Notamacropus eugenii: one gene and its partner. The main gene of each other region encodes a partner of the protein of the gene in region 2 in a complex. Links are inferred from orthologs where the notes say so. Each region holds a gene or a part of one and is shown on either strand. Other genes may lie near its edges.

Region 1 (7,226 bases), on a different chromosome or scaffold from region 2:
TTCATATACCACAACTTATTCAGTCATTTCCCAGCTGACGAATATCCTTTCCATTTCCATTTCTTGGTTGTGGCTAAATTCTTTGAGAAGACCATATACAACCAATGACTCCAATTCCTTTACTTTCACTTTCTTAGTTCTGCAGCCTGACTTCCAATCTTAACATTCAACTGAAATTACTGGCTTTAAAATTACTAGTAACCTCTTACTTACCCAATCTAAAGGCCTTTTATTTATATTTTTTTGGTTGTGAGGATCAGATGAGATCATATTTGAAAAATGTTTTGTAAACTTTAAAGCACCCTATAAATGATGACAATTATTATTAGTTTAACCTAAGATCAAAGCAACATTCCTGGCTGCCATGTCAAGTGCTGAATGCCATTGTTTTTTTATTTATTTAAAAAAATTTTTTCCCTCCAAATTTATTTGTTTTCAATTTTCAACAATCACTTCCATAAGCGATAATAATCATAATTTTCTCCCCTTCCCTCCCTAATGACCTCTTCTTAATCCTCATCTTTCTTAACCTCTTTGCAGCCTCTCATCACCTTCTTCTCCATGATAATCTTTTCCTTCTGGGTTTTCGTGACACTTGTCTCCTGGTTTTCCTCCTACCTGTCCAACTGCTCCTTCTCCAGCTCCTTTGCTGGATCTTTATTCAGATCATGCCCACTAACCATGAGAATACTTCAAGGCTCTATCTTGGGCCCTTTTCTCTTCTTTCTCTATACTATTTTGCTTGGGGTATCTCATCAAATCCCATGGATTTAATGATCATTTCTATGCAGATGATTTTCAGATCTATTTATCCAGTCTTAAACTTTCTCCTGACCTTCAGTCTCACATCTTCTGGATATCTTAAAGTCCTAAAACTCAACGTGTCCTGAACACTCCCCAAGCCCCGCCCTCTTCAGAACTTTCCTTTTATTGTCAAGGGCACCACCATGCTCCCAGTCATCCAGGCTCTAAACCTATATGTCATCCTTGATTTCACACTTTCTATTATCGTTCCACATCTAATTTGTTGCCACGTCCTGTCGATCCTACCTTTAACATCTCACCTCTCTCCTCTGATAGTCACCCCTCTGGTACAGGCCTTTATCTCTTCCTACCTGGAATTACTGAAAGCCAGTCAATAAACATTTACTAAGTTTCAGGCACCGTTCTAAGCACTAGAGATACAGAAAAATACAACAGACAGTTCCTGCCTTTGAAGACCTCACAGTCTAATAGAGAGACAGCTCACAATCTAATGGGAAGATACAACAACTATGTACCAACTTTGTACAGGATAAACGGAATAATAAACAGAGGGAAGGCACTAGCACTAAAAACGTGTGGGAACTTACTTTTTTGGGGTGGGGGGAGTTGGCTGTCACAGGGGCACCACTGGCTATAATGTATAACATGCAGCTCAAAGTGCTTTGTGCCTTAATAAGATGATTTATTGTCCTCATTTTACAGAGGATCTTTTCTTCCTTCTTTTTCTCTCTCTCTAGTTCACACAGAGTATCACACCCTTACGTGCAGGTGCTCTGCCCAAAGGGAATGTAAATTTTAATCTCTGAATTTTTTTTTTCTTCTAGAAGACCAGTCTTAACCCCAAATCACTTAGGCTCTCATAGACTGGCCAACAATAGGTCCCAGGCCAAGCCCTACTTGGTCACAGCCCTGACTGACTCAGAATGAATGTAAGTAGCAATTATTTTTATTTTGGATGGAAACCCTAAGGGTCTTCCCCTCCCAGATCTGTTTTTTTTAAAGTAGTTATTCTTTGCCAAATTTTTTATTAAGCCTTAATCACTGAATGGACATTGCCTCAGTCAAACTGAGACCAGTTAAAGACCTTGGCTGGAAAAGGCCCCCACTGCATCCAGGGCCACCTCCAGCTGTCCTGACCTACATCTGGCTCCTGGACTGAGATGGTTCTAGAGAAGAAAGCGAGGCTGGTGACTTTGCACAGCTCTCCCTCACTTAAATCCAATTCACTTGCATATCACGGCATCACCTCTTGACGTCACGGTCCTCTTCCAGAACCAAGCAGCAACAGTGGATGAAACTGAAGCTCAGAAAAGGGGCTTGCCAGCTGAATACAAGATCAGCATTTCAACCTGGGTCTTCTGACTATAAAACCAGGAGACTTTCTATTATACCAGACTTGCCCGAATTTAACAGTTACACAAGAGAATCACAGTCTCACCGTTAGAGGGAACTTCTGCAGTCACCTAGTCAAATTTGCCTTTGTAAAAAAAAATTCAATTTAGTTTTCCCAACTTCTATCACAACTACTACAAACATTTATATCAGGCATTCTGTGTGCCGGCTCCTGCTAAGCACTTTACAATTATTATCTCATCTGGTCCTCATAACAACTCTGGGTCCTCATAACAACCATTATCCCCCCCCCCTTTTTTTTTTTTTTTACAGATGAGTAAACTGAGGTAACGGGCTAAATAACTCGCCCAGAGCCCCAGTGAGGAGATGTCTGCAGCTGACTCCTGCTTTCTAAAATACAGTCTCCTCCATCGCTTCCCTGACAGATGGTCACCCAGTTGTCTGCTACGTGGATGTGGACGGAGGGCCCGGGGCTTGCAGGCAGGGAGCTAAGTTCGAATCCTGCCCAAAGGCACTTCCGGGAGGTTTGCCCCTAGATACGTCACTATTTCTCTGGGCCTCAGTGTCCCCATCTGTAAAGTAAGGAAAGTGGGCTCCATGACCTCTAGGACCCTTCCACTCCACATTTAGGATGCTCTGATGAGGGATGCAGAATTTTCCTTCTAGGAGAGCAGCTTATCAAACACGGTTCTAAGCCCGAGGGGCCTGTCACGTGCCCTGCATCGGTCCCGGGGTGGCCTGAGAGGAAACAAGCCCCCTCGGAGCCTCGACTTCCCCCACTAGAGATAAGGACGCGTTCGCACGGCCTACCCCACAGACCAGCTCGGAGGGCTGGGCCAGGCTTACGGTCGGACCCCCACGACTGCGGCGGCTTGCCCACGCCGACACCTCTGCTACGTCTCCACGCGCAGCCCGCTCACCGAGAGTCCCGCCGCTCACACCTGGGCGCCGCCATCTTGCGCGCTCACATGACCCACAGTGGCCCCCGTCCCTCCCGAGCTCTGGCCCCAGGCCCCGCCTCTTACCCCAGCCCCAGCACGAGGGGGAGGGAGGCCCGCCCACTACGGTCAAATGCCGCGCCCTCTCTTCCGATTCCCATTGGTCTCCGCTGCCCCGGAACCGGGGCCGTTCATTGGTCTGTGGGAGAAGCCGGGCGGGTCGCTCCCGCCCACCTGGCGTTGGCCGGGCAACCACTCCGCTCTCTTCTCCCCCTCCCTTTTTCAGGACGAGCCCGCCCCTCCTCCCTCAGCCCCCACCTGCCTTCAGGCCTGGGTCCCCCCTTTGGCTGTCGTGGACCCGAGCGGACCGGGGTCTCGCGTCTCCCCAACCCGGATGCAACCCCATCTCGAGCCCTCCTATGTCAGCCGAGCCCCTGCCTGCTCCCCCCTGCCCCACAAAGGAAGTGGCTTGGTGGGGGGCGATGACAGACCCCAGCCCGTCCGGGAGGCTCTCCCATCCCCCCGCGCCCCAGTGGGGGACCCCCGGGGCGTAGTCGTGCACCCCCCCGCCCCAGGCATCCTAGCCAACGTAGCCCCAGCGGAGCCCGCACCTCCTTCCATCTTCCAGAAGCCCCTAACGCGAGTTACATAACTGCTGCTCCTGCCGCCTCTCCTTGCTCCTCTCAGACAAGGCAGGGGTGTGGGCACCGGGGCTGGGGCACGGTGTGTGTGTGTGGCGGCCAAACGGCCCCCCAAAAGGTCTCTCCCCCTTTGTGCCAGGGGCTACGGTGCGGGTAGGGCTGGGGGCACGGAGCGGGCAGAGTGCCGGGCTGGCGCTGCCGAGATCTCCGAGGCAGCCCGGGGAAGGTCCGGGTGGTGGAGGTGGTGGTGGTGTTTCCTTTGGAGAAAGGGGGTCTTGTGTTTTTCCTCACCCCAGGCAGCTGCTTGGATGAGAGGAGATGGCATGATGTGAATGGCTCCAGGGTGAGGAAGGCTGCGCCGCCAACTCACACTGCACCCAGTGCCCACTGAGAGCGCTGCCACTTTAACGTCTCCATGCCAGAGCGGCGCTTTCCTGCTCCCTCGCTTAATACATGGGAGGATCAGAGTGGCATTCATTAGAGAACAAGCCTGGGTAGCTCGGGCAGCAGAGAAGGGGAAAAAGGAAAGGGACTGGACCTGGATGCTGTCTGATCTGAGGGAGCGAGATCGGAAACTTCTTATTCCCTGAATAGAAATCGGCCTTTCGGTCCCGGGGGCACATCTCAAACTCACCCAACCTTTTCAGAAATCAGAGGCAAAGAACTTTGCTTTTTAAAAAAAGTTTTTCTTTTTTTTTTCCTGAAAAGTTCTCCTCCGTAGAACTGGGCATCTTTTATCATTAAATCTGGATGGCTTTGAAGTTGGTTTTGTAGAGTAGTGAGAGTTGTTTAAATTTGGGTTGTGCCTTGAGTCATTAAACTTACACCAAATTTGCTGCCTGAAGAGGAATTCTAATAATGTTTTCTATACCAACAATAATGTTCTCAGTTTTTTTATAGATTAAGAAATATTTTATAAGAATTGAAAGACAATTTTGTGAAACTCCAGTCTTTTTTTTTCCCTTCTAAATTCTGTGGGAGGTGTTAAAAGTTTAATTGTGGAAAAAATATTCAACATTACTTCATATCTTGGTGAAAATGAAGACTGAGCTTGGATTTCAAGACTGAGCGGCCGAAGTACTTTGCCACAGCCACCTAGCTCTTGGCTTCAGCCCAGTTGGATAAAGTTGATACCTAAACAAGTCCTTGAATCCAGTGACTGCAGAGAGATCCAAGAATGCCAGTCAAGAAGAAAGGTGGGCTATGAAGCTTCCTATCTAATATTTGTATCTTCTGTTTTGTTTGGTTCTGGTACTTGTCATTTAAATTGTTTTGCATTTGAGAAGGAAACTCTTGCTTCAGTTGGGGCAGCTCTCTATTTATTATGGTAACACATGGTTAGTGTCACACTCTACAATGCTGTTACCAAAATGAAGTTGTGCTAAAATAAGTAGTTAGTTGTGATTTCATCCCTTAGACAATCTGCAGGCATTATTTGTAATAAATAGATTCAATGCTAAAATTTCACTTTTTCTAGCAATGTCTTTGGTATTACTCATGAATGTAATATAATTAAACTAAATAGCTTGTAAACTACAACAGTAAAGTTGTATATTTGTGTTGGTACAGAATAAAATGGTAGATTTGCAGTATATCTTTTATTTTCTAAGCAAAAACAGACAACTTTTACATTTGGGTTCACTCCAGTATAAATTTTCAATTAGAAAATGTGACTGAGCATATCATTGGCAAGTGATGAAGTTTTAAGTTGGACTCATCAGTTCCATGCGTTAGGAAGTTCCTAAGTAGGAATTTTCTCATCTTTCATCCCCTAAATTCTAGTCTGATCCTGAATACGTGTTGGATTGGGTGAGATTTGGTGTTCTACTTCACTGTGGAGCACAATGCTTGGCACACAGTAAACTTCGCCTAGTAAATGCTTGTTGACTGACTGCCTGGGAGGAGATTTGGGGTTGATGCAGTGGACAGAGCACTGAACCTGGAGTTGGGAAGACCTGAGTTCAAATACAGCCTCAGACGTTTTCTAGTTGTATGACCTTGGGAAAGCCACTTAACCTCTGGTCTGTCTCAGTTTCCTTATCTGTAAAATATGGATAATAATGGCACCTACCTCCCAGGGTTGTTGTGAGGATCAAATGAGACTATTTATAAAGTCCTTTGTTATGTAAATGCTGGTTATTATTACTCTGCTATGATCTGGTCTGTTATAAGTATGTTTTCAGAAATTCTGAATCAAACAATAAATGAACATCCAACGGCTAAAAGCATCATTCATGCTGGTCAACATGCATACAAATACAACAATATGGGCAAGTCATTTGACTTGCTGTATTTTGACACCTGTAATATTATGGTTTAATTCTGGGCCCAAATTGATTATGTGTCCAAGAGAATTGCTCCAAAGGTTCAACCTGGCTCTGTATTCTGCGTAAGTCGAAGGACTAGGGGAGAGCTAGATCAGTTCTAGAACCTTTTAAAAATAGTCACCTGAAAGGCAATGTATGCTCCCAAGAGAGCCCCCGATTTGACCCTTTCTTATCAAGGTTTTAGATTGGGAGATGCCCTGAAAGTGGTTCAGATTTCTTAGGATAACCAGTAGATTTTAGGTGACCCATGGGAACCTCATACCATATCCACCATAAATCTAACCTAAAGAACGAATCTGCCTGGAAACCAGACAGGCTTTGGTATTATAATTAATTATCCTTTTGGATTTTTGAGTCCTACTTTCAATTTTACTCTTCTTACTCCTTTGTCTTTCCCCCATCTATTATATTTGTGTCCTTATTTCCCTGTTCTTAAAAAGTTAGCGACTGTACAAAGAATAATAGATATTACTTGCATGTTAATGAGGAGCCAAGAAGAGAAGAGTGGCAAGTTGAAGTAGGTACAATGGTCTAGGAAAAACAGGTTAGCTAAAAAAAAAATGAGTTTAATGTTTAAAAATTACTCAGGTTTTGAGTTTGTGTAAAGTTATTTTCTTCTTAAGAACAGGTTTATAGATAGCTAATAAACATATATGAAAGTTGTTCATACATCCTAAGAAAGTTGAATGTTTTAGTTTTTATTTTTCTTGAAACAAATGGTTGATTCTAAAATGCATCAATGTTTTTTAGGGAATCAAAGTTTGTATTAACATATTGCATCAAATATGTATTTGATTATTGCTTAAGGCATGATGGACCATGTAATTCACATTCTGAAATGGCTTATTTGGAGACATTTATTATGTTCATGTGTTTTTAAGTGTTCATGATATTGACATACTTTTCAACATTAAAGACTACTATCCAAACACTTCATTGCATCATTGAATCATTGGATCTTGTATTCCAAAGGGATCTTAGAGGTCATCTAAGCTAATCTCACACTCAGGCTAGAACTTTCTTTACAGTATCCTGGAAATGTATTCCTGTAGTTTGTGTTTAAACACTGCCAACCTATATTCCTTCTTGGAAAAATCTAATTGTTATATAGTTCTTCCTTGTTATTGAACCTAAATCTCCTTCCCTGTAACTTCCACCCAGTGATTCCAGTTTAGCCTTCTGGAGTTACATATACTATATAG
Region 2 (7,376 bases):
CCTGGACCAACTGCTGTTCTCCCTCTGAGAGCCGAGTTATCAGGCCACTTGTGAATACCTTTCTCCCAGCAGCTATTATTGTTAATAATACTCTGCCAAATGGGTCCAAGCTGTATGTCAATGTGACCTGTCCTGTCTTGTTTGAGGTTGCCCCACTTAAGTTCGATGACTTTTGCTGCTTTTCTTAGAATCGTAGGACATTAGATGAGCCCACATATAAGATTACAATCTATGTTCTATAAAGTTACATGCCTTTTTTGTCCAAGATGACCCTTACATATCATTAAGGTATAATATGTTGCTGAATAAAGATGAGACCACAAAAATAATTACCAGAGAACAGAAATGCAAGATAAATGAAGATACAGCCAGACAGCTTCTACGTGTTCTTAGAAAGTTCAAGTCACCAGGTTCAGTCCAGGTAATGGAATAATGGGGAGATATAATGGTTGATCAAAGAAGTACAGGTGGAATAAAACTGGAGAAGGGAAAATGCTGAATGAGAGAGAAGAGAGGAGAGTGAGAGAAAGGAGAGAGAGGGAGAGGGGAGAGAGGAGAGATGAAAGAGAAGTAGGGAGAGGAAGAAGGGGAAGAAAGAGGAGAGAAGGAAGGAAGAGGGGGGAGAGAGGAAAAGAGGGAGCAAGGGAGGGAGAGAAAGGCAGGGAAAAGAGAGAGATCTGTCAATTATACATGAGGGAGCTTGACTTTGATTATTGAAGAATCCTATAATGCCATTACAAGTGCTGCTCTGTGAGCATTTAGGGAAGATGCAGTTAGCTAGGCTTCATCAAGAACAGATGGTGCCAGACTCATCTTGTCCTGTTTCTGACAAGGCAGCTGAAATGATAAACCAAAGGAATGCCATGAACGTAGTGTTTGCTGCTGCTGCCGAGGCATTTCAGTCACGTCCGACTCTCTGTGACCCCATTTGGGATTTTCTTGGCAAAGATCCTAGAGTGGTTTGCCAGCTCATTTTACAAAAGAGGAAACTGATGCAAACAGGGAAGTGACTTACCCAGGGTCACACAGCGAGTAAGTATCTGAGGTCAAATTTGAACTCAGTTCTTCCTGACTCCAGACTGAGTTTTCTATCTAGTTCATCACCTAGCTGGCACAGTAAACTCAGACTTTAAAGCATGTTAACAAAAGCCTCTTACGGACAAGGCCCCTTGTGGACAAGATGGAGTGGTACAGGCTGCATCAGTGGTGTCAAACTCAAACAGAAATGGAACCCTATAGCCACATACTGAATTGGAAAATCACAAATTGTAGTATCTATATTTTATTTTTATTTATTTTAACATTTTCAATTACATTTAATGTGGTTTGCAGCATTCAAATTGAGTTAGACACCTCTGGATCAGACTAAACATTTTAGGTGATTTATTCAGATTCAGAACCAGTTTAATGACTAGAACCAGAGAGTAGTCCTTAATGAGCTGATATCAATTTAGTTAAGTTTCATATCAAATTGCCTTAATCCTATGTTAGCAGTGACTCTAGACCTGGGCTCAAATTCACCTCAGATGATGACTAACATTCCTGGGCCCCAGTTTCCCCATCTTTAAAAGGAGGAGGTTGACCTAGATGACCTCTAAGATTTCTTCTAAGTCTAGCTCTGCGATTTTACACAGTAAGAGTCAAGGACAGCCTAAGCTGCTTGCAATGGGCACCTATATGTTAAAAATCCTGGTAAGACATAGACAAGATTCATGGGAGTGGACAGATTACACCCTGACTGGAAGGAGGTAATATTCACATACATTTATAGTCTCATCTAAGCAGGAACTATATAATCAATTGGCTGTAGAGAACCACTAAAGGTGTTGTCAGTAAGGCAAGGATGAATTTAAAGTCGTACTTAAGATTTATCAAGCACTATACTTAGAATGGATTAAGAAAAAGTACATACAGCTTAAAGCTGTACTTAGTGAACTTTTATCTGGCAGCATCCTCGGGATGGATGAAGAAGTAGGGGGTAGAGACTTCTCCAACAGTGACAGCCTTGAATTCAGTTTGCTGCTGTGGGTGGCTGTCAGGGGAGAGAAGTGGGGTAAGAAAAAAACATTAGGGAAAAAATTTTTTGTTTTAAAGATTATCGGACTGAAAGTCAGGTCTGTGTTCGTCCCGCAGTCCCGCCACTAATTTACCACGTGAAGGTGGGCAAATCCCTTCCCCTCTCCTCAGCCTGGTTCCTGACTTTTAAAAGGAGATGAGGGTTTTTTCGTCTTTGCTGGCAGTCTGGTGAAGCCTATGGGCCCCTTCTCCGAATATTTTCAGACCTTATAAGAAAATGCTACCTTTCAGCTAGAGGATAGCGACGATAAAGGTGCGTGTGTGTTTGTTTCTGGTCCAAGGTCTCTAAAAGGTCTCAGAAGAGCGGTCCGTGCTGGGGGACGGGCAAGGGCAGGTGCAGAGGCTTTGGACGTGACATCCACCTTGGGGATCGCTCGGACTACGGGGGCCCCCGGGACTGCCGGAGAGGGGAGGGAGCGGTCCAGCCGTGGCACCACGCCCGTCCCCGAAGCGCGGGTTCAAGCCCGGACTGCTGCCTGCCTCCTGCCCATTTTACAGATGAGGGAAGCGAGGCTCGCAGAGGCAAAGGGACTGGCTCGGGCTCCCACAGCTGGCCAACAGCGGGGCTAGACAGGAGGGCCCGGGAGGTCCAGGCCCCCTCCCCACCGGCCGGGGCCGGCCGGCCGTTACCTTCTGGATCTTCCCCAGGAACAGATCCTTGGCGTAGGACTGGCACCGCGGACCGGTGCGCAGGTGCCGCCGCAGGCTGCCCGCCGTCCGCGGCCGCTGGAGGAGGGTGCCCAGGACCCGGCCGGAGCCCACCCCGGCCGCCCGCAGGAGGAGGAAGCCGCCGCAGCTCATGATGCTCCGCGTGCCGGTGCCAAGCTGCCACAGAGGAGCCCCAGGCGCCGGGAAAGGCACGGGCGCCTCCCGATTGCGTCACAAGCGGACGCCTCCAGATGGCGTCACGAGCGGCTACGGGCTCCCGGCAGCCCCGGTCCCTCCCCTCCAGCCTCCCTTCTGTGGTCCGGATTGCGGCTGCGCAGCCTGAAGTGCGGCACGTGGAGCGAAGGCTCCTCCTCCCCACTCCTTCTCCCTATTTATTCCCTACTAAAGCTGGATGATTCGGACCACCGGGTCGCATGTGACGGAGCTGGAGGCGCTGCTCCAGCGTCAATTAAGCGCCTTCTTTGTGTTGGGCCGCATCCACACGGTCCTGGCAGTCCAGGAGTTCCCACCTTAGGGTGCGTGTCAGTGACTGCGTCCTTATGAGGCGCCTATGGTATAAAAGCAGGGCAAGCTGAGCGGGGAAGGCACTCGCAGCTGGGGCCACTCGAGCCGAGTCTGGAGGGAGAGCATTCCAGACGGGGGGCACAGCCAATGCAAAGACACCAGGTCGGGAGATGGAGAATTGTGGATCTCTATTGATTATCTCCAGTTTATCCTGTCTGTATCTCCCTAGATGGGTGGGTTTTTGTGAGTGGTTCCCTCGTTAAATCGTGAGCTCCCGACTGGCAGGGGTGGTCACTCTACCAATGCAGGTCAACACTTTTTTGGGAACTCTTACTCTTAGCCTAGAGCCTGGAGAAGTGAAGTGATATGCTAGTCTCCCAACCACGAAGTGTCATGCTCTTTCTGGCTTTGAGTTAGGCTCCATAGTCACCACACCATGTTGCCTCAACAAGCAATTTAATGTTAAAACTCAAAGCAAACTATTCCTTAACTGCTTTAGCATGCGTTTGTTTCTCTGCCAATTAATAATTTTATAAAGAACACTGAACTAGGAGCTGGAAAGCCTGAATATAAAGGACTGCTCTGCTGAAGACTTCCCCATCACCCCTGGAAAGTGAGTGAGATTCTTTGGAGCAAAGGTGCTACAATGTTTCCAAGTGAGGCCACAACCAGATTACAATGTAACCAGGAAGTATTTAACATGATAAAAATACAGTAGAACAACCATAATATATTATTTTTCTAAGTTAACACAGGTCAGCTGGAATCCTTATGTGATTTAGTGGCCACCTTCTTTGAGTTTGACCCCAGGGTCAGAAGAGGGGAGATCAGAAGCCAGAACAGTTGAAGGGGAGACATGAAGCTAGAATAGTTGTGTTAGAGACAAACTACTACTGCAGGAGAGAGAGATGATTATTTATAACCCTGGGCCTGCTGCCATGACTGTCTCTGTTCTAAAAGAGGGCCAAATGACCATCCTTATATTAATAATGCACTAGTCTTATTAATAAAGTGATTAAATTACCCAGAAACTATGTCTCTTGAACCTTTTAAATCATCACACAGAGGTAGTTTTCAGAGGAAGAAATTAAAGCTATCTATAGCCACATGAAGAAATGCTCTAAATTGCTATTGATTAGAGAGATGCAAATCAAAACAGCTCTGAGGTATCACATCACACCTATCAGATTGGCTAACATGACAAAACAGGAGGATGATAAATGTGGGAGAATTGGAACACTAATTCATTGTTGGTGGAGCTGTGAGCTGATCCACTTTGGAAGTATGCCCAAAGGACTATAAAAAATTTGCATACCCATCGATTGAGCAATACTGCTTCTAGGACTGTATCCCAAAGAGATCGTAAAAATGGGAAAGGGTCCCACGTGTAGAAAAATATTTATAGCAGCTCTCTTTGTGGTGGCCAAAAACTGGAAATCAAGGGGATGCCCATCAATTGGGGAATGGCTGAACAAATTGTGGTATGTGAATGTAATGGAATACTATTGTACTATAAGAAATGATGAACAGGAAGACTTCAGAGAGGACTGGAAGGACTTATATGAACTGATGCTGAGTGAAAGGAGCAGAACCAGAAGAACTTTTTATACAGCAACAACCACAGTGTATGAGGCATTTTTCTGGTAGACTTAGTACTTCATTGCAATATAAGGATTTTAAAAATTCCCAATGGACTCGAGGTGAAATGCCTTCCACCTCCAGAGAAAGAACCGTGGAATTTGATCACAGAATGAAACAGACCATTTTCTTTTGTATTATGTTTTGTTTTGTTTTATGATTTCTTCCATTCATTTTAATTCTTCTATTCAACATGACTAAGGTGAAAATGTATTTAATAGAAATGTATGTATAGAACCTGTATAAAATTGTATGCCATTTCAGGGATGAAGTGGGGAGGGAGGGGAGAAGGAGGGGGAGGGAGGGAAAAAATCTAAGACATAGAACACTGAAAACAAATAAAATAATTTAATTTAAAAAATCATCACACAGGAAGGATAGGATCTGATTCATCTTGGTACCCACCAAATGACTGATCACACACCCCTTAGGGTTGGGCCATGACTTCTCAGAGGCACCAGCCCCCACTTTGGAGATGATTTCTAACCCTGACCCCAGGCATAGAGTCCCTGATTTCCATAACTGAGTCAACTTGGCTCCATGAGTCTGTGGCAGGTACATTCACCAAGTAATAACTAGTGTCTAGAATGAGGAACAAAGGAAGTGGGGATAGGTTATTTAGCACTTCAGATGCCTAATTTTCTGAGCGGCAGCATAGGATAAAATGTTGAATGTGGTGTCGGAAGACCTAGACTTGAATCCTGCCTCAAATAATAATCTTGTGATCCTCAGCAAGCCACTAGGATTCAGTTTCTCATTGGTAAATTGTGATGTACCCACACTACTTATTCCTCAGGATTGTTGTAGGGAAAACACTTTGAAAATGTCACAGTGCTCTATAAATCTGCGTTGTCTATATCTGTAGCTGAAGAGTTTCAATCTCTTCTGAAAAGAGAGAGATAGAATTCCACTTCATCTATTCATTAATTCATCAAATTCAGGTAGGCATTTACAAGAACTGTGCTGAACTTTTATCTACCACAGCCTAGCTTCATACCCCAGAAATAGTTTGTGATGGAAAATCCTGAAGGCTAGTGAATCTCTGACACAGCCTCGCTGAAAATTTCTTATTTTGGAAAATTTTAGCCAAAGAACAGAATCTAATGTCTTCCAAGTATACTCTAGCACACTAGTACATGGAAAGTGAAGGGTATGACCAAGGATCAGAGTGGTACAGCTAATAATTATAATGCCAGAAAGCATTAATGACTAGTCCTGACCATGTGTGAATTGGCAAGTCAAGAAAATTCTGAGTACGTAAAGTAGGCTGTGAGAGATACTTCTTCAGCAGTGGTTTAAAAAAAATCTATATGCTGCAGAATAGCATAAACCAGATGGCTGCCATCTCATATTGCTAGGTAGAGGCTGCCTGATTAGGTAGATTATCTAAATGGATCTTCTGTACTTTTCCATTATCCTTATTAATTAGTGTTAGTCCTTTCATTGGTGCAGAAGACTGAACAATACTGAAAAACAGCATAAAAATTTTCTTTATTGAAAAAATGGTGAATAGTTTTTGATCCCAGCATGAAGTATTTTTCAAAAGAGATTTCAGGGGGCAGAACAAAGATGGTGGAGTGAAGGCAGGGACTTGTTTGAGCTCTCCCTAAACTCCTCCAAATACCTTTAAAAATTAAACAAATTCTAGAACAACAGAACCCACAAAATGATAAAGTGAAACAAATTTCTAGCCCCAGACAACTTGGGAGGTCAGCAGGAAAGGTCTGTTGCACCAGGGTGAGAGAGAAGCACAGTCTGAGCTCCAGCAAATCTGGAGCAGGTCTTGGTTACGAATCACTGGCAGCAGAGGTAGATTCCAGACCTCTCAGCCCATAGATGCCAAAGACAACTTAGAAGGTCAGCAGGAAAGTTCTGTTCCACTTGGATGAGAGTGAAACAGAGTCCAGCCCCAACCTCAGCAAACCAGGAGCAGGCCTTGGGAGTGATTGAATCAGCACTGGAAAATAGAATAAATGAGGGGGGAAGGGGTGATGGAATAGGATGGAGGGAAATACAGTTAGCAATAGTAACTAACTGAAGCAAGTTTCACTGATAAAGGTCTGATTTCTCAAACAAACAAAGAACTGAGTCAAATTTATAAAAATAAGAGCCATTCCCCAAATAATAAGTGATCAAAAGATATGATCAGTTTCCAGATGAAGTAATCAAAGTTATTTATAAGCATATGAAAAAATACTCTAACTCACTATTAATGGGAAATTCAAATAAAAACAGTTCTGAGGTACTCACACCTATTAGATTGACTAATGGTACAGAAAAGGTAAATGACAAATGTTGGAGGGTAAGTGGGAACATGGGACATTAATGCAATGTTGGTGGAGTTGTGAACTGATTCAACCATTCTATAAAGCAATTTGGAATTATTCCCAAAGGGTTATAAAAGCATACATACCCTTTGACCTAGTAATACCATATTAGGTCTGTATCCCAAAAGAGATAAAAAACAATAAGGAAAATGACCTATTGTG

The links. Proteins that work in one complex are often made in the same cells at the same time.
Region 1: ACAD9 (region 2) and TMEM126B share a complex: the UniProt entries of both Homo sapiens proteins name them as parts of the mitochondrial complex. The link is inferred for Notamacropus eugenii from reciprocal best matches to the Homo sapiens genes ACAD9 and TMEM126B.

The regions. Positions count from the first base shown.
Region 1 is NC_092876.1:115,835,609-115,842,834, forward strand, and holds the start of TMEM126B (complex I assembly factor TMEM126B, mitochondrial), read right to left. Parts: upstream 3,189-7,226; 5' UTR 2,929-3,188; intron 1-2,928. UniProt on the Homo sapiens protein: As part of the MCIA complex, involved in the assembly of the mitochondrial complex I. Participates in constructing the membrane arm of complex I.
Region 2 is NC_092874.1:425,042,022-425,049,397, reverse strand, and holds the start of ACAD9 (complex I assembly factor ACAD9, mitochondrial), read right to left. Parts: upstream 3,041-7,376; 5' UTR 2,878-3,040; coding exon 2,707-2,877; intron 1-2,706. UniProt on the Homo sapiens protein: As part of the MCIA complex, primarily participates in the assembly of the mitochondrial complex I and therefore plays a role in oxidative phosphorylation.